3 linked regions of the Xenopus tropicalis genome follow. The protein of the gene in region 1 binds, or shares a complex with, the protein of each later gene. Links are inferred from orthologs where the notes say so. Each region holds a gene or a part of one and is shown on either strand. Other genes may lie near its edges. The genes, in order: gnat1, pde6g and unc119.

Region 1 (8,104 bases):
TGCTTATTTTTGAATAAAGATGTAAGTTTTGGAAGACCATGTATACTGCCAAACTGAGCCTCCTGTATTCTGCCAGTTTACATTGGTTTATCAAATAACCAATCACAAAAATGTGTTTCTTTACACATACATACCTGATTCCATAGAGAGAAAGGAAACCATAATAGTTTCAGGACCAGCTTCCTCCTCCCCACCTTTAGTCTCACAGAATGATCTCCTCCCTTACCTTGTTCTGTTGCAAAGTGATGGATTCTGGGATTTGAAGTCTGCTTTCCAGAGAATCTGCGCACAACCTAGTATGGAAAGGTGAGGGACTCCCAGAATCTATTACTTCAGAATGGAACAACGTGAGCTTTACACTGTGAGCTTAAAAGATGTTGGAAAATTATTTGATTTTGCTTAGTGCACTTGTCTATTATTTCAGCCCACACATCCCATGTATTTGTTTGTTACATTTTCTTTATCCTTCGTTAGCATATGATGCCCATCACATATCTGTTTACTAGGTAAAGAGCCGGATCCCCCGGGGTGAATGCATTAGCATAAAATTGAAAGTGTTTGCACAGTGCTGATCTTTATATACTGTAGCACACATAATGACTTGCAATTCCATTAGAGACTTCCTTGCTGAGGCTTATTAATGCTGACACAAATAATTTCAAAATGAGGGCAATTAAAGCTAAAAACAAATAGCTAAAAAATGAGCAAGCTTAGCGTTTGTACAAATTGCTGGGCTTTCAGGTGTTGGACGGAAAAATACAGTAAAGAATAATAAATCTGCTGACACTTTTGGCCTCAGGTGTATTGGTGTTTTAGTGCCCTTGCAATCTGATTGGAACAACTTTCATACCTGGTTAGTAATCTTCTATAGCAGGGGTGTCAAACTCAATCACATAAGGGGGCCGAAATCTAAAACACAGGCTAAGTCACGGGCCAAATGTTTTATTAATATACTTAGTAAGATACTAAGGGGTATATTTATCACAATGTGTAAAAAGTGGAGTAAGACATTACAGGTAATGTTGCTCATAGCAGCCAATAGATGCTTTGCTACTGTTGAAATCTGATTACTGATTGGATGTCTTGGCCAACATTACTGGTAATGCTTCACTATGTCCAATGTATGAAACCCACTTATTGTACAGCGCTGCGGAGTATGTTGGCGCTTTATAAATAAATGTTAATAATAATAATAATCATGTAATCCAACTTTGATTGCTGGATGGATCCCGCTATTAGTTCTGCTACCAGAGACACCCGATTTCCAAGAGGATGATGAAGAGGAAGAGTAATGGTGCTTTGCAAGTGGGTAGCATACCGTAGAATGAATGTGCAGCCACTTGAAACAATTGAGCAGATTGGCCTTTTGAACAGTTTCACTAGAGTCTTCTATATATCAGCCAGTACACTTGGCACATATCCCACTGCCTGTTTTTCAAGCTTAAGATGGTAAGGTAAGCCATGAGTGAAATCTAGTCATATTGCTTGGGTTTGATTGGTTTGATCAGCCCAAAATCAGCTCATTGGATCTACTGGAATTTAAGCATAAATTGCACACCCATGTCACCAGATTACAGTGATCAGGATGACAGTTCATCAAGTGAGTTGCTTCTTAGTTGAATCACTTTGCACAAGATGTTGATCTAGTGAACTCAGCCAATCAACTCAACTGCACTGGATTTTACTTTAACATAAGAGGCCATATTTAAATTACACTTGACTCTGCCATGTCAAGCCACAAGGTGAACCTGTTGTGTATTCAGTTTAGGGGATCCCTGCCAAGTTTTAGGCATAACTAAGATCTTAGCTAACGCAAATCCTTGCAAGATCTGCTATATTATCTAGTTATATAGCTCCTGGATTCTATATTATAAAGCTACAAGCAACTATTGGGATATACTGTAGGTCTTTACATACCTTAAAGTCGTATTTACCTTAATATCCTTTATCATCACTGTGTTCTTGAATATGTTTTTTTTTTTGTTAGTGTCATAGTGAAACCTGGGTACAAAATCAATGGTTATATGCAGCGAGTCCCTCTGGGAGGTTTCTTTGCCTATTTATAGAACACATGCATCATCATGATATCCATGGGCCTTCATAAGAAGACAACCTTGTGCCATACAGAAGCAAACAAAATAGAGGTAGATGTGGCAGTGCAGGACTATGTGGATTCCACATTACATACGCACAGGGATTCTCAGTTAAAGATACCTATAACTTTCACACATGTGTGTAGCATACATAGTTGTCAGCAGGCACAGCATACATAGTTGTCTGTGGCCTACCTGTTTGCTGTACTTTTAATTGACTCTGAAGCTGACTATTGGTGAAATATTGATTCATTCAGTCACATGTATATTTTATTCTAAAAAAAAGATCCAACTTCTGAAATGATAGCAGTGCTTGTTTCCTGAAGCCATGACTCTACCTGTTGGCAGGGAAGGACGGGCAGTGTGTCTGAGTACAAATGCTACTAGTGAGATCTTTGTACAGGATAGAGATGGCTTAGCACAAATCTCTCCTCTCTGGACTCAGCGTATACACAGATTTAAGATAAACCTCTTCTGTGGATAAGGATACCCATCTTTCCTGGGCAATACACTTCAGCTGAGCTCAGCATCTCCCACACCTGCTCAGCCCCCATACCTGTCCTTGCACCCCATAGGCCAAAGTGGGTCACCTGACCACTTGGATCTGTAAAACCCTTTTGGGAATTACAGCAGATCAGCTTTGGGAGAAGGAGAGGGGGTAGAGCACTAAGTGGTGGTCAAACAGCCAGACGGCAGGGACCACATTAGCTCCCCGTTCCCCTGTTTGGAATTCCCCCATTTTTAGAGAAACCAGGAGGTCAGGTTCAGCCATCTCTCTCTTGCCCCGCACTTGGAATACGGGAATATGGGGGCTGGAGCCAGTGCTGAAGAGAAGCACTCTCGGGAGTTAGAAAAGAAGCTAAAGGAAGATGCCGAGAAAGATGCAAGGACTGTCAAACTGCTCCTCTTGGGTGAGTAAACACATTCCTCATAACTAACGGAACAAAGTACTGCTGGTCAGCCTGTCAAGAGTTTGTTCATGTTTTGTTCTTGTTGGCCACAACAGACTTTTCCCAGATAACAGTACAGTAATGAAGAATCAGACAATATAGAATGGGAAAGAAAAGGTCAGGGCAGGGGAGAAAAAAGAAAGAAAGCGAGATCAATTAGAGAACTTCATTTGGCAGAAAGTGACTGGCTAAAGTCCTTCTCATTGTACACAGTGACACCAATTAGAGGGTTTCAGCTGGAAGAGAGACATCAATTAGAGACCATCTGTTTGTAAATGGCCCTTAACCTTTTTGTCACAAAAAGGGAATATTCTAAAAAAAAATAAAGCAGTGTGAGAAGTAAAAAAACAATAGTGCCCTTTATAGTATATTAATATTTATAGGCAAGGGATCATTTAACAAAGGTATTGAATGGCACCAACTTAATTAACTATTACACCCAAGCATTTCCTTTCTCTGTCTACCTTGCAGTAGGCTAATTTTTAATGCTGAGGGTTTTTACCACACTGGAGCAATATTGTAACTAGTACTACTAATCAGCTGCCAGTTTCTCCAGTGGAGCCTATGTCATACATAACCATAATGCATATACTATATATTGGTTCTCAGGGCTCTAGCAATGATGCCCCCTACCTACAGTTGTACCAACAGTACCTTTACATTAATATCCCCAATAATATGCTGACATTTGTGCCTGCGCTGCTGGGAAGAACCACATACATAAGGGGAGTGCCAATGGATTTCTTGGTCTGTAGGCCTATACATAAATGTATGCATAGGGGTGAACCATATCCAGGAATCTGTTCAGGATTGAACTGAATTCCAGCATCTTTTGTAGGATATTGGATGTGGCCAAATCCTTATGGTTCTGATTTAATTCAGTTGAACACTTAAAGCCACATGACTCTTCTTTTTTATACAGGCTCTCAATAGTGTGCTGGACAATGAATGAATAATTTGGCCACTGTGTCTCCTTTCCTACCTGCCTGCCTGTCTAAACACAGCCTCTATACCCTCATACTGTAGCATATAATGTACTGTCATATGTGCACTGCTCATATACAGATATTCCATTGTAAAAACAAAATTGAAGGCTTTGTCTGGTCCTCACATTACTCACTCCCTTCCAATCTGCTCTTAATCCTCAAATCCTTCAGATAAATGACATTTAAAATAGTTTACTTGTAAATTGTAAGCAATTTTCAAATCTTCCTCCTCCCTATAGGCTGTTGAGATAAGAGAGGGATATCTAAGTTAAACACAAATAGAATGAAAGTGATGAGAAGAGAGATCAGGTTCTAACAGCTGATCCCAGCTCTGGGTCTTATCCCATTAAAGCTGCCCAGCCCCTAGAAAAGGAGGCTTAATGCTTACACCTTGAGAAGGTACAAGGTCAGATGGGTAATCCCAGAGGAACACAGACAGTGTGCCATCTGTACATTTATATAAATAAAAATTAGTGGCTCAACCCTATCTGACACAGAAGGTGGTCTTTATCTCCAGATTGTATGGTGTTCCCATTGTTCACACATACCTATGAGCATCATAATGATGAGCATCATTATTAGCAGCATAATTGACAGGTATTAAATTAATACATGGTTTATACATTGTGACTGCATGTTACCTTTGATAACGTGATCAGATTGAGTTCTAGAAGACATCTATGAAGACACAGTGTGTGAAAATTGTCTCATAGAGAGATATGTCTTAGGTGTTACTGTTCCATTTTTTCTGTTGTAGTAAGCCTACAGCTGATACCTGTGGAACATAACCCACCCCACCCACCCCCAGTCAGTGGTAGAGTATAGTTTGTGATCAACGTTATTGTTTTGTGAGCAGTAATCCCAATCTGTAGCTAGTTACATTGTTTTGCATCCAGTTATAGTCTTATATTACTCATTGTGCTGCAATCAGTTTCTTTGCCCTGAGACTAGTAAAATCTCTCTGTAACTCATCACATACACACATCCCAGTTACAATACTGGGAAGTTACTAAGGAGGGGCTCTAAACGCCAATGAAAGTCAGAGTTTGAGGAGAATACACCTGAAAGCCCAGCTTGAAGATCAATTAGAATAATAGAATAGAATAGAATAATTCTGGGGTGAAAATATATTTGCTGCCAAAATATTCTTGGAACCATGGCAAAATGAATGGCACACCGTACTGACTTCATGAGCAAAGGCTTAAAACTTATAAAAATTATAAAATTGCCTTGGTGCCCATAGATACTAAAGTCACATGTCTCCTGTTTTGAGCCTGGATTTTCATTTGTAGATAACCTGGTTCTTATAAATGAATAAAAAATATAAACAATGGCTAACAGCATGTCTTTAAATCAGCCAGTGGTAATACAGGGTGTAAACATACAGGAGAAAATACTGTGATTGCTACTAAAACCATTATGGCCTATACATTTCCCTAGAGCACTGAATATATGCCTGATACAAACAGCCTGTAAGTACTTAGTTAGTAAGGCTCATTGTAACAAAATTCCAAAAAAGAGAGAGTTTATTGCAAAATAATTGTATTTTCTCTTTATTATGACCGCCCAATAGGGAGCTGTCCTGTTACAGATAGTAGAATCTTATGCTGCTAGTTACACATACATATTAAGATTACATCTTCAATGTTTATTTGCACTAAAAGGTATATGTTTATCCCAATGGGTTATTAGACTATTGGATACTTTACCTATAATACTATGTATCCCTCAGCTATGTTTGTCACAGGAGGATCTTAGTATGTCCGCAGGGCATGGAAGCCCACTATCAAGAACTGAGACTTTAATGTCCATTCTGCGCATTTTTTGCCCAAATACCATTGTCTGTGGCTATTACTAGTGATGTTTCCTCAGGTTTTTCTTTTAAATAGACCTATGCTTCAATAGAAAAATTAAAAATTCTAGACAAAATTCTAGGCAGGTGCTGGTTTAAGTAGACCCATGAAAATAAAAGATGCCTAATCTAGTCTTCACTAGTGGCTTAACTAAATGCTACTGGGACCCACAGCAGGGCCCCTATCCCAAAAGCCTACAAGCTACAAAAGCTATCCAGCTGGAGGCCTCTTGGCTTTATTGCGGATGTCCAAGAAATTTTGACCACACTCCAATCTGTGTGTGGGTTCCATAAACTGCACTATATCATCATTTTGATACAGTCTGGCCCATGAAAATATTGTATGTCTACTAACTGGCTCCCCTGCATGGAAAGAGTTCTCCAGGAACATTTTGCTACTTATGGTTTGTTGTTGTAACAGCAGGAGGATAAGGCACATGAGCATTTAACATAGAGACTGACAGGATATTCAGAGGCCCTCATATACTGAAGTACAACGCAAGACACAATGTGGCAACCTACAGCAATCAATTATAATTTATTTTACAAGAATGAATATCAGATAACTGCTTAAGTGTCCATTGTAGTACTTTCTGTGTCTATTTCACAGTTACAGTTATTTTGTTCTTTTGGTTACAGGGGCGGGTGAGTCTGGAAAAAGCACCATTGTAAAACAGATGAAGTAAGTTACAGACCCCATACGCACTGCCACTTGCACTGCCACTTGCACCCCCATTCCCACACAATAAGGATTTCATTTATGAAACCTGTGCACACACAGACTTTATTTTTCACCAAGCCCAGCCACTTTTCACTACAATAAACACACTTCTACATGGAATAGCTGCCAGAGTAACATGCTTAGGGTTCCTCCCCAACTTGCTCCTGCTACAGAGGGAAACATAACAAAAGAGCCACTAGATATTGTATATTACTTTCTCCTGAGCTGCACAGCTCCTATAGCACACACATGAGGTTATGTAAAAAGATTGTCCAGGTGCACTTACCAATACAAATACCTATACCTAAAGCAATCAGCAGGTAGCCTCTGGTCACCTGCCTGAAAGCAAACATCTTATTTGCTGTTATGGGTTACTGCACCTGGGCAAACTTAGTGTCTGTGCCTTTTTATTACAACTCCTTTTATACAGTTTGTGTTCAACTCTTGTGTGCAACTCTTACACAGCTAGTGCTCTATACTGCTTCTCTTACACACCTCTACACATGACATATGGGCTAAACCAAAACAACCAATCTGTAATTAGTTTTGCTACTATTTAGAACATAAAAGCAAAGGTCTGATTAATAGTTTTGGGCAACTGTAGTGGTGCATTTTAGCACTTTAGTTAATTAGCCCCTGTTGCTTTATACTGCTCTTCTTTATACCCAGTGCTCTATACAGCTCCTCTTCTGCTCTGCCCATCTTACATTGTTTGTGCTGTACCCTGTTTTCTTGCAAAGCCATTTCCCTTTACTGTTCCTTTTACCAAGCTTTTCAATGTTACTCTTATACATTTATTCCCAGTATTCTACTGCTCTTCTTACATAGAAAGTGGCTACAGAGTAGCGCTGTACCATGCTCCTCTTGCATATCAAATATGTTACCATGCTTTTCTCATTCTCTACAAGCATGCATGGTCTCATTAATAATATAATACATAGAATACATGCACGTCATTTATAGATTGTAAGCTCTACGGGGCAGGGACCTCCATCCTCTTGTGTCTTTGACTCTTAACTTATTGCAACTGTATTTATCTTGTTTCTATCTGTATTTATTGTTGTACTTTGTATTTATCTATTATTATCTTAATGTATCTAATGTATTAATGTATTCTACAGTACAGCGCTGCATACATAAGTAGCGCTTTATAAATAAAGATATACATACATACATTTAGCAAACTCAACACTAGTCCCCACTCCTGTATAGCCAACATACTTACTCCTGTGTGCTAAATATGCACCATTAATGATGGGTACCAACAATCGTACATAACCCCATTCCTAACAGTCTTGTGCATTCTTTTCTCTGACCAGAATTATTCACCAGGATGGTTACTCCCTTGAGGAATGCTTGGAGTTTATTTCAATTATTTATGGCAACACGCTACAGTCTATGCTTGCTATTGTGAGAGCCATGAATACACTCAACATCCAGTATGGGGACCCAGCAAGGCAGGTAAGAACTTTACGTATATCTTTTCACATATCAATTAGGTA
Region 2 (8,165 bases), on another chromosome or scaffold:
CTGAAAAAACCTAAAGTCTCACAACACTACTACCATTCTGATCGCCATACTGGCCCAATCAGGCCTGGTTCTCAGACCTCCAGGACAAGTTGGTTACAGCACCATGGAGGCTACCTCTACGCCAAGAATTTCTTTCCCAAGGTCTACATCACAAGATATCATCCCTGACCCTATGGCTCTTAAGACCATCAACTAGGTGGACTAAGGTTTCTCAACAAAAGTAATCAGCACACTGCTGCAAGCCTAGAAGAGTCATTGTGCACTCTTGCCACAGAATATTGAGACATAAAGACCAGAGAGAAATCTCTATACCACATATTCTAGAATTCCTCCAACAAGGCCTAGATAAGGCCCAAGTTCATGCTCCCTGAAAGTTCATGTATCTGCACTCTGTTCTGCTCCAAACACAATTGGCACTCCATCCAGATTTTAAGACCTTCCTGCAAGTGGCTCTCCATATTCAACCACGCAGGCAAGCCCCACTCCCACCCTGGGACTTCAGTCTCGTCCTCTGAGCTCTACAAACCCAGACAAACCCCTTACAGTCAGTCTAAAGTTCTTATCAATTAAGGTGGCCTTTCTCATTGTTATTGCTTCAGCCAGAATTTCAACCACTTGTTCCAGTTTTGGATCTATTGGCCCTTTATTGCTAAAGCCCTCTTTGTGTTTTCCATGAGGACAAGGTGGTACTCTGTAGCAAATCCGAATTCCACCCAAAGGTAGTGTCGGAATATCACAAGATACAGACACCAGAAATGAAAACTTTTTATACAACTATCATAACATTGTATTTGTATGAGCTTTAGAATTTTACCATAAAAGTATCTGACCAATACTTTTAGATTACCTATTTGGTTTCCTATGTTCCTCTATGAGGGGGCTGCTATATTTGTGTAGCAGTAGTCTGTTAGTATTAGAAGCTAAAACTGACAGGTTGAAAAGGGACAATTGGGTTGGAAAAAGAGTCAGGTTTAAGAACTTTAAGTAACAACTGCGAAAATTAATGTATGTTAATATTTTTTTAGTGTCATTTTCACTTTAAATCAAGAAATCACCTTGCCTTCCCTGTGTCCCAAGCCACAGAATGCCAAGGAAGCCACATTGCATAACCTCGATGGTGTCCACAAAACAGGCTTACTGTTTGTCCCATTTGCCTCCACTTACCATGGAAAAATGGCTAGCAAAGCACCAAAAGTTGGTGGATAAAAGAAACTATTTATCTGGTCTACACCCAATACTGCAGAAAGGACCTCTTTCAGGTATCCACTGATTCCACAAGAGCCCCAACCAAATCTTTACCCACCCTATTTATCTCTACCTATAACACTCTTATTTACCCCTGTCACCTCCCAAAATGTATTACTAGAATTACTTTTAATCATACATTTTCTGTAGGTGAGAATCACCTTAAAAAGCAATCGGAGACTTTAGGAATAATTTAAATTTAGGGGGTTTCTAAAATGGTTTTTGCTGCAGGTCCCAGAAATTTCTATTTATTATACTCCATCATTATTTAAAAGCCCTGTTTAAAATCCAGTCAAACTAATACTCATGTCCATTAACATGTTAAGTATGGTAGGGCTATTTAGACCCAGTTAAGCTTTTCATTATTTCACCTGCAGTACACTTTTCAAGATTAATTGCCAACTTGTTGCTATAATTTATTTGGTCCAATTTGTTAGATTAGGATTACTGGGTGAAATACAAAGGCCCAGCACCAGTGATTATTTATGTGGCTGGTAGGTTGTTTGTTTAGAGCCATGTCCACCATACTGACACTGATTTACCTCCTATATAGAAGATGCTGATCCTATAGACAATGGTGATTTTATTATCTGTACTGAGTTATATATTTGATTACCATGTTTTAGTTGTTCTGTTTTATAGTTAGTGTTGGGGTGACAAGCTGAGATCCTTTATCTTACCACTATAATTGTGGTCATGTTTAAAGTCCCCAGATGTGCACAGTTGCAATAAATCTGTTTGTAAATGTCAAATGTTAGCCTGTTTGCCATGTTAATAAGGGAACTAGTAAACAGTTACCTACAACACATTGTCTTAGTCTCAAGGACCAAAGATGGAGGACCATGTGCAAGTTTCTTTTTACCTGTATATAAATGAGCAACAAAACCATATCATGAAAGCGTGTGTGTATTATATCTGCAGTAAATTATAGTTCTTTCTTACAGATGCCACTTTCTATCTTGAGGAGACTCACATCGGTCCTGTCTTTAGTGAACAGAAGTACAAATGCAATGCGATTTTTAAACACATCCACAAGTGAAAAGATTACAAACAGTTCAAGTCATGTGACTAATTCCAGCAGCGCAATGCAGAGAGTAGATCGTATCATAGATGACTCACAAAATCCCGGCGATTCCCAATTACCACCACCTCCAACACACTGCTGTATGAGTGGCTGTCACAATTGTGTATGGATTACATATGCAGAGGAGCTCCTGGAACTGTACAAAGATGGAGGCGAAAGGGTGCTTCAGGTTCTGGAAAAGCATATAGACGATGAGAACCTTAAAATGTTCATAAGGATGGAAATACGCTTCAGAATGATCAAGGACAAGTCTTAGCTTAAACTATGGACTGTTGTGTAACAGGGACATAGTAAACGGGTCTAAAAATCAGCATAAAGTTGGAATTTTGAAATGGAATTCATAGTGTACAATACTCCAATTCTCTAAAGTTCCTCTAATATACTGTAAGCAAAGCCCAGTGAATGGTGTAATTCAGTAGAAATATGAAGAAATCTTTATCAACTGACATGTTTATATTAAAGCTTGTTCACCATTTTACTAGGGCCTACCATTTGTATATAAGTAGTACATTATGCATATATTTGTGGTGAAATGTAAAATATATTTATTAATAAGGATTTTAAGTGTTGCACGCAATAAATATGTAACCTGTTCGCATCACAAATACGTACTGTCTGTGCCCCCACCAATGGAATATCAGATTACTTATTGAGAACGAGAACTGTAATCCTATTAACCCTGAGCCTGATAAATCCAGAGACTCAGCTGATGCAAAGGATCAGCTGTCCCAAGAGAGGAGGCATGAAGTGAGGTACCGCTGCTCACCTCCCGTAACTGTGGCAGGACATGTGAAATCTTTTTGCAAAGGGTAAGTTATAGAAATGAAAAGATCAGCATCTGTAATTTAAAAATGGATTACAGCATCATGAGAGTCATTCTTCCTAACATTTAGTTTGAATATTTTTGTGTTTGGGTAGATTTAAAAGCCAAACTGAGGTGCTTTCTAAGAGTCTGATATTTTAGGAATGGGGAAGGGCTTAAAGTGTACTTTGGTTTCAGCGAATTGCTAACTTGCTTCTCTCTTGTATTAATACTTAGTTTTGGGGTGAAAAAGGAGATTTGGTAGTACAATATATTTGTATACTTTTCACCATATGCAGACATGGTGTGACTTGGGGGGTGAAATCTAGTTAATTTCTCACATTAAGATGTTTATGTTGCAAAGCAAGAGTGTATTCTGGGTTTTTGTGTGCATTGAAATCACAATAATGCGGATGGATACTATCAACAGAGCAAGGCACTTTTTTGTAGGTATGAACTGTACAACTACATTTGGTTTTGGGTGTCCAGGAGATGATGCACAGAGTATGGTAAAATACAGATGGCCCATCCATTTATTATGTTTTAATATGAAGTTTGTTCACCTGAAGAAAAGAGGAGTCTCATGGAGGTACACACAGTGCCACCCCCATTGCACAAGGATCCAAAATACAAACGTTTTATCTCTACAGATCCTATATACAAATATATCAAATTTTGAAATTCTTACCGCATTGGCAACTAGTTATGCTGATTTTTTTTCTTTTGTTTTTGAACTTCAGCAAGTTAAACCACTGTCCAAACTCTTATGATGCATTAGATTCTATTAGGCACAAGGATTCATGTATGCTGTACCCGTCTGTTGCAATCAAATCCAGAAGGGGCCAGGTCGAGGGATTTGTGATTCTGTATAAGCAGCTTGAAGTGAAACGATTCTGCTGCATCAGCAAACACCTTTGTTTAATCCTGTCATATCCAAGCCTTTCACTTGTCCTGTTGTCAACTATGCAGCCATGCAAAGCTTACATAAATCAATAGCAAAGCATGTGAACTGAAACAACAGCTCAATCACCTGACACACTAAAAATCTGGTAGGGAAATAGCCTTGGAAGGAGTGGGAGCACTTTTTTATCCAAATAATAGTTTCCTGTAAATGGTGAGGTGGTCAGTTTCATTAGATTCTAGAGAGTGCCTAACATTATAAGGATGGTTTTGTGGCCTCTTAAATGTTTATATGTGAATAGAATATTGTCAGTTTAATGAAATGCTACCACTTTTGTTTCTTCAGATTGTAGCGGCACTTTATTAAAATCCTTATTGTGACCATAGTGCCATTGCTGCAGACTCTACATTTCTGGTTGGCTCTTTGATTTCTGCTGTGTTTGCTTACATTGCTGGCAACACACAGCACAGATCAAAATCCAACCTGCATCATGGAATGGGATTATCTAGCCCATAACATAACCATATTATTATTGTTAACTTTATGTTAACAATATTAAGTGAAAAGAAACAACATAAATACCTCTTTAAAACCTTAGAAAATATTGCTACAAAGGCTACAGATATCCCCGAAACCAGCCCTTTTAGTTTTTTTGCACTCCCCTATACCATGGATCAGATTGCCTCCACTGAATTGTGCATTTGACCCAACAGAGTAACAAGTAATAGCCTTTTGTTAAAGGTAGGTACTGCAGGCTCACAAATTATAAATAATGCCTATACAGGATTCCTGAGGTCCAAACCAGACCTGAAAGTATCAATCAGAAGAATCAAGATGAGAGACCTAGCTGTTCTTACCAATATCTAGGCTGGCCACTGCCATGGTAAGCCCCTTCCCCATCAATAATTAGAATTTTTAAAAATGTATTTCTATAATTACATTTAAGAATCATCAGTGTCCCTTTCAGAAGTTACCTTCTGTGAGCCTTTCCTAAACACCACTGCTACTTTAGAGTAATTCCACACAGGGCTGTTCTGGGTGGTTTAACACTGCGTTTGCAAGTAGCAAATGCTTTTGCTGGCAACTGTGTCCTAATAAGCGCTATCACCAGAATTTGTTAAAGGGGTGGTTCTCCTTCAGGTTAACCTTACAGTATATTATAGAATGACCTATTTTTAGCAACTTTTCAATTAGTCTTTATTATTTATAGATTTTGAATGATTTGCCTTCTTCTTCTGACTCTTATCAGCTTTCAAATGGGGGTCACTGACCCCAGAAGCCAAAAAACTTTTGACCTGTGAAGCTGCAATTTTATTGTTATTGTTACCTTTAAATGACATATCTTTCTATTTAGGCTCTCCTCTATTCATATCCCTGTCTCTCTTTTAAACCACTGCTTGGGTGCTAGGTTAAATTGGTCTGGCTCAGGGTACTACTGACGGAGCGCCACATTGCCATCTATTTTGCTCTCCCAGTAAGCTTTTGTAACTGATGTGCAGAGTAAAGACTCAAAGTTTTAAGGAAAAAAAATGGCATTTTCTCCATGGTGCAAGTGCACCCACCCTGGGCTGTCTGGGGCTCCACAGTGGATAAAATATGTAAGCAGGAACTCTTACATTGGCACCTTGGCCAGTGTAGTATAAGCTTAATGCCCCCCCCCCCATCCCAGGGTCACAGGTTAGCAATTATTATTAGTGGGGGCAGGGTATCTAACTATTTAGGCCCCCCATCCTGTTGACTATGACTTCCTTCTCCTTTAGCACTTGTGAAACAGCCCCTTTTGCCATTATCTTTACTTGTGGATGTTTAGCAGTCATTTGTTTCAGGGGTTTCTTAACCTACTCTGAAAAAATAAATAAAACCTGTTAAGCACCTGTTTTACAACTAAAATTGTAAGAATACATTACACCTTGTAGGTATGGCCTACGTGAAAGAAAAGGAATTACCAATTGCCAGGGATTTCCATTTTGGAGGGGAATGACACATATATAGTTAATGCATTGCTGATATATAATGGTTAATATAAGGAAATTTGGCAGTACATTAGTTAAATATTTCTGTGTATTTTTTTATGTATTTCTGATGAATCCTGATAATGTCACATAATTCTTTTCTAAACGTTGTGCACCTTTAAGAAGAGGGTATTGATGGGCTTTTTCAAATACATACTTCTTTGCTCAAATGTAAACTAAATTATATCTTTTATAATTCAATACATTGTCAATCATGTGGGTATTGTATCTACAGCCTCCCAGGCCAGTGGCACCAACCAGTGCAATTTGTTTATCCATCGGTGCTGCCTACTTGCAATTGGTCAGATCACCCTGTAGTTCAAAAAATGTGATTTGTAGGCAACTTTTGGTTAGATCAGATCCCCTATGTAGAATTCAGCAGTAGTGTATAAGATAGACATGTATAATAAGATGGAAGTAGATTTGACTACCAGGAATACTCCATGATAAAGGGAGGGTCTTGGGGGACTTGTGCTGTCATTACTTATGCTTTTTCAGACAGAATTGAGTTGACTGTTCAGACAAAAAAAAAAGAAGGGGATCGGATAGTGCTATGAATGGTTAGATATTGTATAAAGTGCTTAGCTATTGTTAATCTGTACTGGCAGTACTGTAGATTTACAGAGAAAAGAAACTGTGGGAAAAGCACACAAAGAAATATTTGAAGATCACTCAACAAATGTTTTTTCTTTACATCTCTTTCATACAAGGAAATGTAGTTCCTTTTTAAAGAGAATGCACAATTCCTCACTTGTATCTTATGTAATTACGTAGTGAGACAGAAAGTACCTGACGTATATGGAATAGCTGAACTGAAGCTGTTCTCATGGATTAGAATAGGCAGACAATCTACGTTAAACATATAAATTAGCAACAGTCTTCTAATGTTATTGGTTGCATACGTTGTTCCCTCATTAGGAAAGACATTCCTGTTTCACGTTCCTGAGAAGGGGCAGGACGTGCCTAAATATAAAGGAGGGTACAGTATATGGAGTTTAGATGTAACTGAGCACAGGGCAGATTATGTTCTGTCTTAATATTCAGATTGGATTATTACAGTTGGAAGTGTTGGTAGGAATGCACCACTTTAATCCATATGTTCTTCTGCCTACTATTATGAGAAGAATCCATTTTGTTCCACACGTAAATGTAAGGGCAAGAACAGAGTACAGGGACTTATTTATAAGAGATTCAGATATGTAGAAAGGCATGGTGTGCCCCTTATCTGTTAGTGCTGGAAGGACTTTAAACTCATGAAACAATGTGTTGGTTAGCTCATATATAAATGGTGGGAGAGAGTCGAAAAATAAGACCACCAAGAAGCAAAGGTATTCTAAACCATGTACCTAATGCTTGCTTGGGGCCACATTACTGGACCAAACCCAATTAAGACCAGACAGCTGCAATCTACCTAATACCTAAAGTCCATTTTTTGGTAAACTCTTCCTTTGGACTTTCCAAGACCAAAGGGACATCACATGGTTAGAAGTAACAGTGTCAGTAGAAGAGGAATTCTTTCTATTTTTGTTCCTGGTCATAAATGTTACCAAACTTACTTAAAGACAAGGTGTGATGTTTATAGTAGCTGCTTTCATCTTCTGAATAGCCGTTGCCTTTATCCTTTGTGTCGGCTCAATGCTCAAAGCACTTATTTGTTCAGTTTTAGTTCTCCTTTGTGTTTGTGTAGTGCCAAGAAGAGATGTACACATTACACTATCCCTGTTGTGAGTCTTCATGTTATTGAATCACTATAAAGTTTTTCTCGCAGTAAGAACAGGTAATGCTCACGTTGGCATAGTTTTATTACTCATACATCTGTACATTTGGGCAAGTTTAAAGGAGAAGGAAATGCATTTTGGCTTTTTACTGCCAATAGATTCGCCACATTAGTGCCACCTAGAACGCCATATTTATTCTGCAGAAAGCATTAACATACCCGAGTAAACAGTTCTAGAATCTCCCTCGCTTTGTTTAAGATAGTAGCTGCCATTTTAGCTCCGTCTCAGTAGCTTCCATGCTGTAGCTCTATCTGTTGGTAGCTCAGATCACACATTCTTATGGGAGGGGGAGTGAATTCTTATAAATTCTTATGGGAGAGAGCTGCACAGACTTGTGCCCCAA
Region 3 (7,466 bases), on another chromosome or scaffold:
AGATCTCACTGAGTGGTTTAGAGGATACTTATGTGAAGGAAGTGGTGTGGGAGTAGCTGTTAATGTTAGGATGTTTCATGCAGAAGGTCTGGTAGCAGTGAAATGAACCGTAATGAGGATGAATGAGCAGACTGGACTAATATAATGTGTAAAAGATGCAAAGTTTGCCTGCTGGGTTCACAGGCTCCTTGCAGCCTCCCAATAATTCTTAATTAATGAACGTGCAGTTCTACGCAAGGTTCCAATATACATTAATTACAAATTGTCAGACCTTGGTATTTGTTAATATTGCAATTTAAATTACTTGACTGCACGGCTAGTTCCGACTCTTGAAGCAATTTAGTAGAATGCAACTCTCCTGCAGGCAAGAATTCAGTTCCAACAATACATGCTTCTGTTTTCAGCTGGTGGCTGCTACATAGTTTTCAGCAAATACAGTGTCATCCAGTGGCCTAAGAGGTCACTGTAGAATAATTATTACACAATTACCTGTATCTTTTGTAACCCCCTACCCGTATTTTGTTTAATCACTGTTCTTCTATCTCATATTTGTCCTTTTGTATCGAGAATTCTGCTTTCTTCCCTCCCCAGTGCTTCCTCTTTTTCTATAATAACTATGTTTTGTTGTCCATTATTTTGTTCCTATTTTGGCTGTTGCTATGTTGCTTGATATTCCTTTCATCCATATACAGAAACAATAACTACTCCATAGAGATATTGCTGTGGGGGAAAACAGGAGTGAGGGGTCAAAATATTCATTTTTCAAACTGAAGCATTTAAAGAACCGTCTGTGCAACTCAACAAGTTGTCAATACAAGTCTTTGTGACAAATACTTATTTTTATAAATCTAATTAATTACATTTATGCACAAAGTTTTATGTAAATTACTGAAGGTAAAAAAAAAAAGTAAATTTTTGTGTTTTTTGTATGCTTACCCATTCACCCATTGGTGATTTTCTGGGTAGTGCTGGCCATACATTATAAGATCCATTCATTTGTGAAGTGGCCAATATCGGGCTGATCTGATCGTTTAGCCCTAAGGCCAAAAGATCAGATCACCACAATGGGAATAAAAGCTGTTGGCTCGCGTGAACAAGCCAATGTGGTCAGACAGGAAAATCAAATCAACACCTGCCCGATTTTCAGCCAGATATTGGTCAAGTAGGACTGTGGGAGGGCCCCATACTCTGGCAGATAAGCTGCCAACTAACAAATTGGTATCTTAAATCTGCCCTTGTATGGCCACCTTTACAGACACCAAATGAAGGCGGAATGCAATCATTAAAAGGAAGCAGCCGGTGCAATGTACAGGGAGGAATAGAAGTAATGGAACAAAGGGTTCATTATTTTTAATCCACGTGTTTCAATGAGTCATGTGACACAAAGGACATCACTAAGCACTGATTATAACTGATAACAGTCCCGAACACTATTTACGGGGATATATTTTCATAATAATGTTTTATATCAGAATTTAGCTGCAGTCTCCTGTTTCAGGAACCCTATATTTTTTTCCTGTCTTACCGTTTTATTGATTGAAGCTATTTTTTACTCCCATCCAGATTACCTGTGTACCCCTGAAGAAAACGTTTACAAAATAGACTTTACCAGATTTAAAATTCGTGACATGGAGTCTGGAACGGTGTTGTTTGAAATTACCAAGCCACCAGCATCAGGTATGTACAGAATTATGCTGATTCTAGCAAGGGATAGAATCTCCCAACACACAGACATGGGGAACCCTTACACAAATGTGAATATACACTTGTATTGTAAATGTATTTGTTTGCTCAGCCTTGGGAGGAAGCCTGTGGCAATAACACTCCCCACCCAGGAAGTGCTTTATCAGATTATTATACTGCGTGTCATGTATTTCATGTAAAGCTAAATCCATTATGATCGTAAAAATGGTTGTGTCTAGTCACGCAGTGCCGTTTAATGCCATTTAAACCAAACAATAAAATTTCATTACAATGCTGCTACTGCTATAGTATGCTATTTTCAAACCGGACTGGCTCCATGGAAAATATCCCATTCTGAAAAGAAGAAGTGATCACAGCTGGGTAGTTATTATTATTATTATTATTATTAACAATTATTTATAAAGCGCCAACATATTCCGCAGCGCTGTACAATAAGTGGGTTTCATACATTGGACATACAGAGTAACATATAAAGCAATCAATAACCAGTACAAGAGGTGAAGAGAGCCCTGCCCAAAAGAGCTTACAATCTACAAATGTAGCACCTTACTAGAATCAGAGCTTTTCAGAAATGTGTATTTTATATTATTATATATAATATATTATTTTGATATTTTATTTGGCAGTGGGCAGTAACCCATGGCAGCAAATAAGATGTTTGCTTTCAACCTGCAGCTGCCCAGTGTTTATAAATGAGCACCCAATATTTTCAACCCGCCTGGCACCCAGAATTTCCAGGCTGACACACTGCTGAGAAGGGAGTTCTACTCACAATGATCAGGATTGTAACTGTTGTAACACTTGACCTATAGGCTTAATTTGGGACTTTATGCAATGCAATGAAGTGAGTCATAAATCCTTGAATTAGAAGATACAGGGTTGTTACAGAAATAGTTTTCCATTGTAGTCATAGCAATCATTGCTAACTGATGGGTTTGGGTATATTACCGTTCCAAGAGGGACTTATGCACATATTCCTTGTCTGTTAAGTAGCAGGCTGGATTTGTTTTCCTTTTGTCTGAATGTACCATTGGATGTTTGTTGGGAACTTAAAGCTGGTCATATGCAGAAAGGTCCACTCGTTTGGTGAGGACTCTATACAAGTGGACCAATCTAAGCGCATATGCACTTCTCACCCTGATCATCATCTGGCTGCTTATTGTTTGGGCAGGCCTGTCTGAAGGCCCCGGGCACTGCTGATAAGCTGCCCACTCCGTGACCGTCAGCAGCTTTTATCTGCCCATGTAAGGCCACCTTAACCTGCTGTTGGGATATACTGATGGTGTTAAATAACCAGGCACAGATTGCTTTTACAGATTAACCAAACCCGCCAGAAAGCTGCGCTTCTAAAGCTGTGTTAAAGGGGTTGTTTAGCTTTATTTTAAAGGAACAGTAACACCAAAAAATGAAAGAGCTTTAAAGTAATGAAAATATAATGCACTGTTGCCCTGCACTGGTAAAATTGGTGTGTTTGCTACAGTAACCCTACTATAATTTATATAATAAGCTGCTGTGTAGCCCCGGGGGCAGCCATTCAAGCTGGAAAAAAGGAGAAAAGGCACAGGTTACATAGCAGATATGTTATGTAACATAACAGATAAGTTCTGTAGAATACAATAGTGTTTTATCTGTTATCTGCTATGTGCCTGTGCCTTTTCTCCTTTGAATGGCTGCCTCCATGGCTACACAGCAGCTTATTTATATAAATTATAGTAGACTTTCTGAAGTAAACACACAACTTTTACCAGTGCAGGGCAGCAGCACATTATATTTTAGTTACTTTTATACACTTTCATTTTTTGGTGTTACTGTTCCTTTAACTTTTACTATGATTTAGACAATGATTAGATATTCTGAGACAACTTGCAGTTGGTCTTCATTTTTTATAGTTTTTTTTGGTCATTTAGCTTTTGGTTAGCAATTTGGTATTTTAGCAGCCATCTGGTTGCCAGGATCTTATTTTCCCTAGCAACCAGGCAGTGGTTTGAATAAAACTAGAATAAGTACAGGTGATTGAATAGAAAGATAAGTAATAAAATTGTAGCTTTGCAGAGCAGTAGTTTTTTACCTGCAGTGACCACCCAATTGAAAGCTGGGTAGAGGTAGTAGAGAAAGGCAAATAACCCAAAAACCATTAAAGATAAATAATGAAGACCAGTTGCAAAGTTGCTAGGTATAGGACATTCTATAACAGTGATCCCCAAACAGTGGCTTGTGGGCAACATGTTGCTTACCAACCCCTTGGATCCTTGCAATGTTGTGGCAAGCTAAATTCCCTTATATAGCATTTCATTAGATAGCACATTTTATGTTTTAGAACGTGACCACGGCGATAAAAAGGATGCTGATCCTAATGCTGGCAGATTTGTCCGATACCAGTTCACTCCAGCTTTCCTGCGACTGCGCCAAGTAGGAGCAACGTAAGTGCCTAGAAAGATCACTCTTATAAGCAAATGCTTGCTCTTCTGCTATGAGAGAATTTGCAAGTAGGTTCAGGTAATGTAAATACAAACTATGTGCGATAGTTGTTTTCATTTCCTTTATGGCTTAACTAAGAACATGCAGTTCTGCACATGAAAATCAGTATATTAATCTAAGTATGAGGAGAGAATAAATAAAAATGGAACATTTATGCAATGGTTTGCATGTAAATTAGAGTTCAACTTTTATGGATAATATATTTCATTCTCCATAATGGCACTAGCTATGAAAATAGTGTTACATACAACAGACTCATATTGTGCTTAATGTGAAAGTCTGCCTGGGCCACATGAGGTTGGAGGCACCAACGAGTATTTTACTTCAACTGGTCCTGGGCCAGGCAGGGGTATAAGTATAGTGAGAGCATTGCATAACAACTCTGTCATTAAATGTACTTGCTCCTTCCTATAGTTGCTCTGGGCACCACTCCTTTCTGTCTTCTGTTTGGAATCGTGTGCCGCAGCACCTACTAACGCATGGGTACTCTGGAGCTACTGCCACCTCTGGACCAGGAGGTAGCTCCAGGGTTCCCCTCGTGCCCTCTGTCAATTGCCACAGCACAGTTGTGCTAAAGGAATAGGGCACACACGTCATGGCAAACACCAGAAATGATGCCCGAGAACACCAGATGACAGGCAGGCTTAGAAAATACTTGTCTCGGTTGCAACCCTTATGCAACAGACACAGTTGTGTCCATTATTACAAAAGAATGTAGTTGCATTGTGTATTATATGCTGTGTTACGAGATCCACTGGTTTTAGAAAAAGAACATTTGCATTGTGGCTCAAAACTGCACTTTACTCACTGCACTTGTTGACATAAATGAGCCCTTTTGTGTAGCAGCCTCTGACTGATCACAAAGTCTGCGTTACTGAAGCAAACATGTATCTTTTATATTTATGTATGTATATATTTTATTGCAGAGTTGAATTCACAGTTGGTGATAAGCCCATTAATAACTTCCGCATGATTGAACGGCATTATTTTCGTGAGCAGCTATTAAAAAGCTTCGATTTTGAATTTGGCTTCTGTATCCCCAGCAGTAAAAACACTTGCGAACATATCTATGAATTTCCACAGCTCTCTGAGGATCTAAGTAAGTTATTTCTCTACGTAAGTATTTAGAAATATATCTGTTCCTCTCTGTGGTTATATTTTATTTCATATAACAAATGCAGTCTGATTCTCCGTGAATCAGTGCAGATTTCAACTTCAAAATAGGCCCTGGCATTTCAAGTACACAGAGGCCCAAACAGCCCCCCACCAGCCCAATAAATAGTGACTGTCTATGGCATCTTACAGCAGCCCCTCTGGCATTTGCCAGAACCCACAGATTGCCAGAATTTGTGTAATTTTCCAACCTTCATAAGATGTCAACTGAGAACTCCATTCTCACTGTATTTTCATAAGCCTGAATAAATATTGAGGGAAAATGCCTGCCAGCTGTTTGGTTATTCTTTTAGGGTGAATAGGCAATAGAACTTGGCATGTAAGGCTGACATATCCACCATTTGTGTGCAAGCTTCTACCCTGAGACTGTAAGATAAAGAATTAGATGGCTTAAAGTACATTTTTGCCAAATAAATCTGTACTCATAATATTCTGTAACATTCTGGCAATGGAAGGTCCATTTTGTTTGAGATTGATGTTTAATAAATATTGCAAAATAAAAATCTTGTTTCCCCTTTTTTTTCTCATTCTATTTTGCAGTTCGCGAAATGATTCTGCACCCATATGAGACACAATCGGACAGTTTCTACTTTGTGGACAACAAACTTGTGATGCACAACAAGGCAGATTATTCATATAGCGGAGGTCCGTGATCCCCAAAAATAGCACGAGCGAGAAAGCATCAACAGCAGTCCCCTTTCCCCATAGCAGTTACGTAAGGGATAACACCCACTTTCCGTAGGCAAACAATCCAGGAAACAATATACTGTTTGCAAGTAGGAGATTTTTGGCTGTACCCCAGTCTTTGTAGCACATTCAGATAGTGCAAGAATCGTCAAACTGCAAAATCTGAGGCAGTGGACTTCATCAGCCCTTCCCAACATGAATGTGGGATAAGGATAAACCTAAATAAATACTTCTCTCTTGCTCCATATAAAGGGTTGTTCTCCTGGAACAAGGACTCTTGCATCTTATCTAAGTCTTCTTAGGACCAACCTTTCTCATATGACAGGCTTGTGAGTTCTTCATCAATATTCTTGCCTCTATCTAAGAGAAGAAAGGACAAAAAAATCATTCAGTAGTTTCTTTTTTTACTAAATGTCAGCTTGGGAAAAAAACATTGTTATCAAGGAAATCCAAGCCAAAGATTTAATCAGTTCTTCCTCTTTGGGCTTGCACTTGTTAGGATTCTTGTTATTCTCTAGGCATTAAGTATTGTTTGACATTTTCCCATTCATTTCTAATGAGATGGCTATTACACAAAAAACAAACACAAAATTGTGCATAGATCGTTAAGGATTAAGTGTTCCATCCATGATTGCAAATTACATTATTATTGAGTCCAGCCTAGTTACCTATGAGTCTGAAGCAATGAGGCCCATCCAAGGTAAAACCTGATCTGATATATTTGAAATAAGTTTTGTTTACGGTTACACTGTATTGTGCAGAAATAACAATATTAGCAATGTAATCCATCATGGAGACTAGAACGGAGTACAATCAGTAACAACCTGTGAGCAATTGTTTGTTTTTTTCCTTTATTTTTTTTTGTCTTTAATTTAAATATCACCAAGAAGCGCTGCATATTTATTTCAAATGGTCCGGTCCTCCTCCTGGGGAACAAGCTCACAGAGGCAAGTATTTTTTTTTTCTTTTTTTGATTGCAGTAAATGCACATTTAGAATTCCAGTCAGTTGAGCAATAATTCCATGTATAATACAATATCATGAAGATTGTGAATAGCTTCAATTTTGGAGGTCTTTTTCGTTTCTTCTTCCTCTTCTTGATGATGATGATAACTACACAATTTATTTTTAAAAAGAAAAAATGCTGTGGCACCTATATTGGGAAGAGGAGAAGATCTCCAGATGCATTGGAACAGCTATACAGATTTCCAGTAAATATGATCAAGTCCAGCCATTAGTATCTTCTCTGACATTTTTGTAATGAGCTTCCAAAATGCTGCAGCTGTGCTCTTGGTGTTGGGGCAGAATAAATGAATTGCTGTATATTTTATGAGACCATCAAATGTAAATAAGCATTTATATTTAAGGATTAACCTCACCAAAACCAATTAACATACATTGATAAAAAAAAAAACCCAATTCCAG

The links.
Region 2: the proteins of gnat1 (region 1) and pde6g are in contact, whole or in part, in a cryo-EM structure (PDB 7JSN), measured with the Bos taurus proteins. The link is inferred for Xenopus tropicalis from reciprocal best matches to the Homo sapiens genes GNAT1 and PDE6G. Residues at the interface, in NP_851365.1 of Bos taurus: Ser140, Arg201, Arg204, Lys205, Trp207, Ile208, Phe211, Asp227, Val229, Glu235, Val236, Asn237, His240, Glu241, His244, Leu245, Ser248, Ile249, Ile281, Phe283, Glu305, Leu306, Met308; in NP_776846.1 of Bos taurus: Arg36, Gln37, Phe38, Lys39, Ser40, Lys41, Pro42, Pro43, Lys45, Leu60, Val66, Ile67, Cys68, Pro69, Trp70, Glu71, Phe73, Asn74, His75, Leu76, Glu77, Leu78.
Region 3: the proteins of gnat1 (region 1) and unc119 are in contact, whole or in part, in a crystal structure (PDB 3RBQ), measured with the Homo sapiens proteins. The link is inferred for Xenopus tropicalis from reciprocal best matches to the Homo sapiens genes GNAT1 and UNC119. Residues at the interface, in NP_000163.2 of Homo sapiens: Gly2, Ala3, Gly4, Ala5, Ser6, Ala7, Glu8; in NP_005139.1 of Homo sapiens: Asp87, Phe88, Val89, Arg90, Phe91, Ile105, Lys106, Lys107, Gly126, Arg127, Phe128, Val129, Tyr131, Phe137, Val147, Glu163, Leu172, Ser218, Tyr220, Asn230.

Annotation. Positions count from the first base shown.
Region 1 is NC_030680.2:126,817,875-126,825,978, forward strand, and holds the start of gnat1 (guanine nucleotide-binding protein G(t) subunit alpha-1), read left to right. Parts: upstream 1-2,789; 5' UTR 2,790-2,898; coding exon 2,899-3,004; intron 3,005-6,520; coding exon 6,521-6,563; intron 6,564-7,921; coding exon 7,922-8,063; intron 8,064-8,104. UniProt on the Homo sapiens protein: Functions as a signal transducer for the rod photoreceptor RHO. Required for normal RHO-mediated light perception by the retina.
Region 2 is NC_030686.2:31,882,604-31,890,768, forward strand, and holds the start of pde6g (phosphodiesterase 6G), read left to right. Parts: upstream 1-3,058; 5' UTR 3,059-3,138; intron 3,139-8,165.
Region 3 is NC_030678.2:34,703,430-34,710,895, forward strand, and holds part of unc119 (protein unc-119 homolog A), read left to right. Parts: intron 1-1,563; coding exon 1,564-1,677; intron 1,678-4,021; coding exon 4,022-4,124; intron 4,125-5,108; coding exon 5,109-5,281; intron 5,282-5,895; coding exon 5,896-6,008; 3' UTR 6,009-7,466. UniProt on the Homo sapiens protein: Involved in synaptic functions in photoreceptor cells, the signal transduction in immune cells as a Src family kinase activator, endosome recycling, the uptake of bacteria and endocytosis, protein trafficking in sensory neurons and as lipid-binding chaperone with specificity for a diverse subset of myristoylated proteins.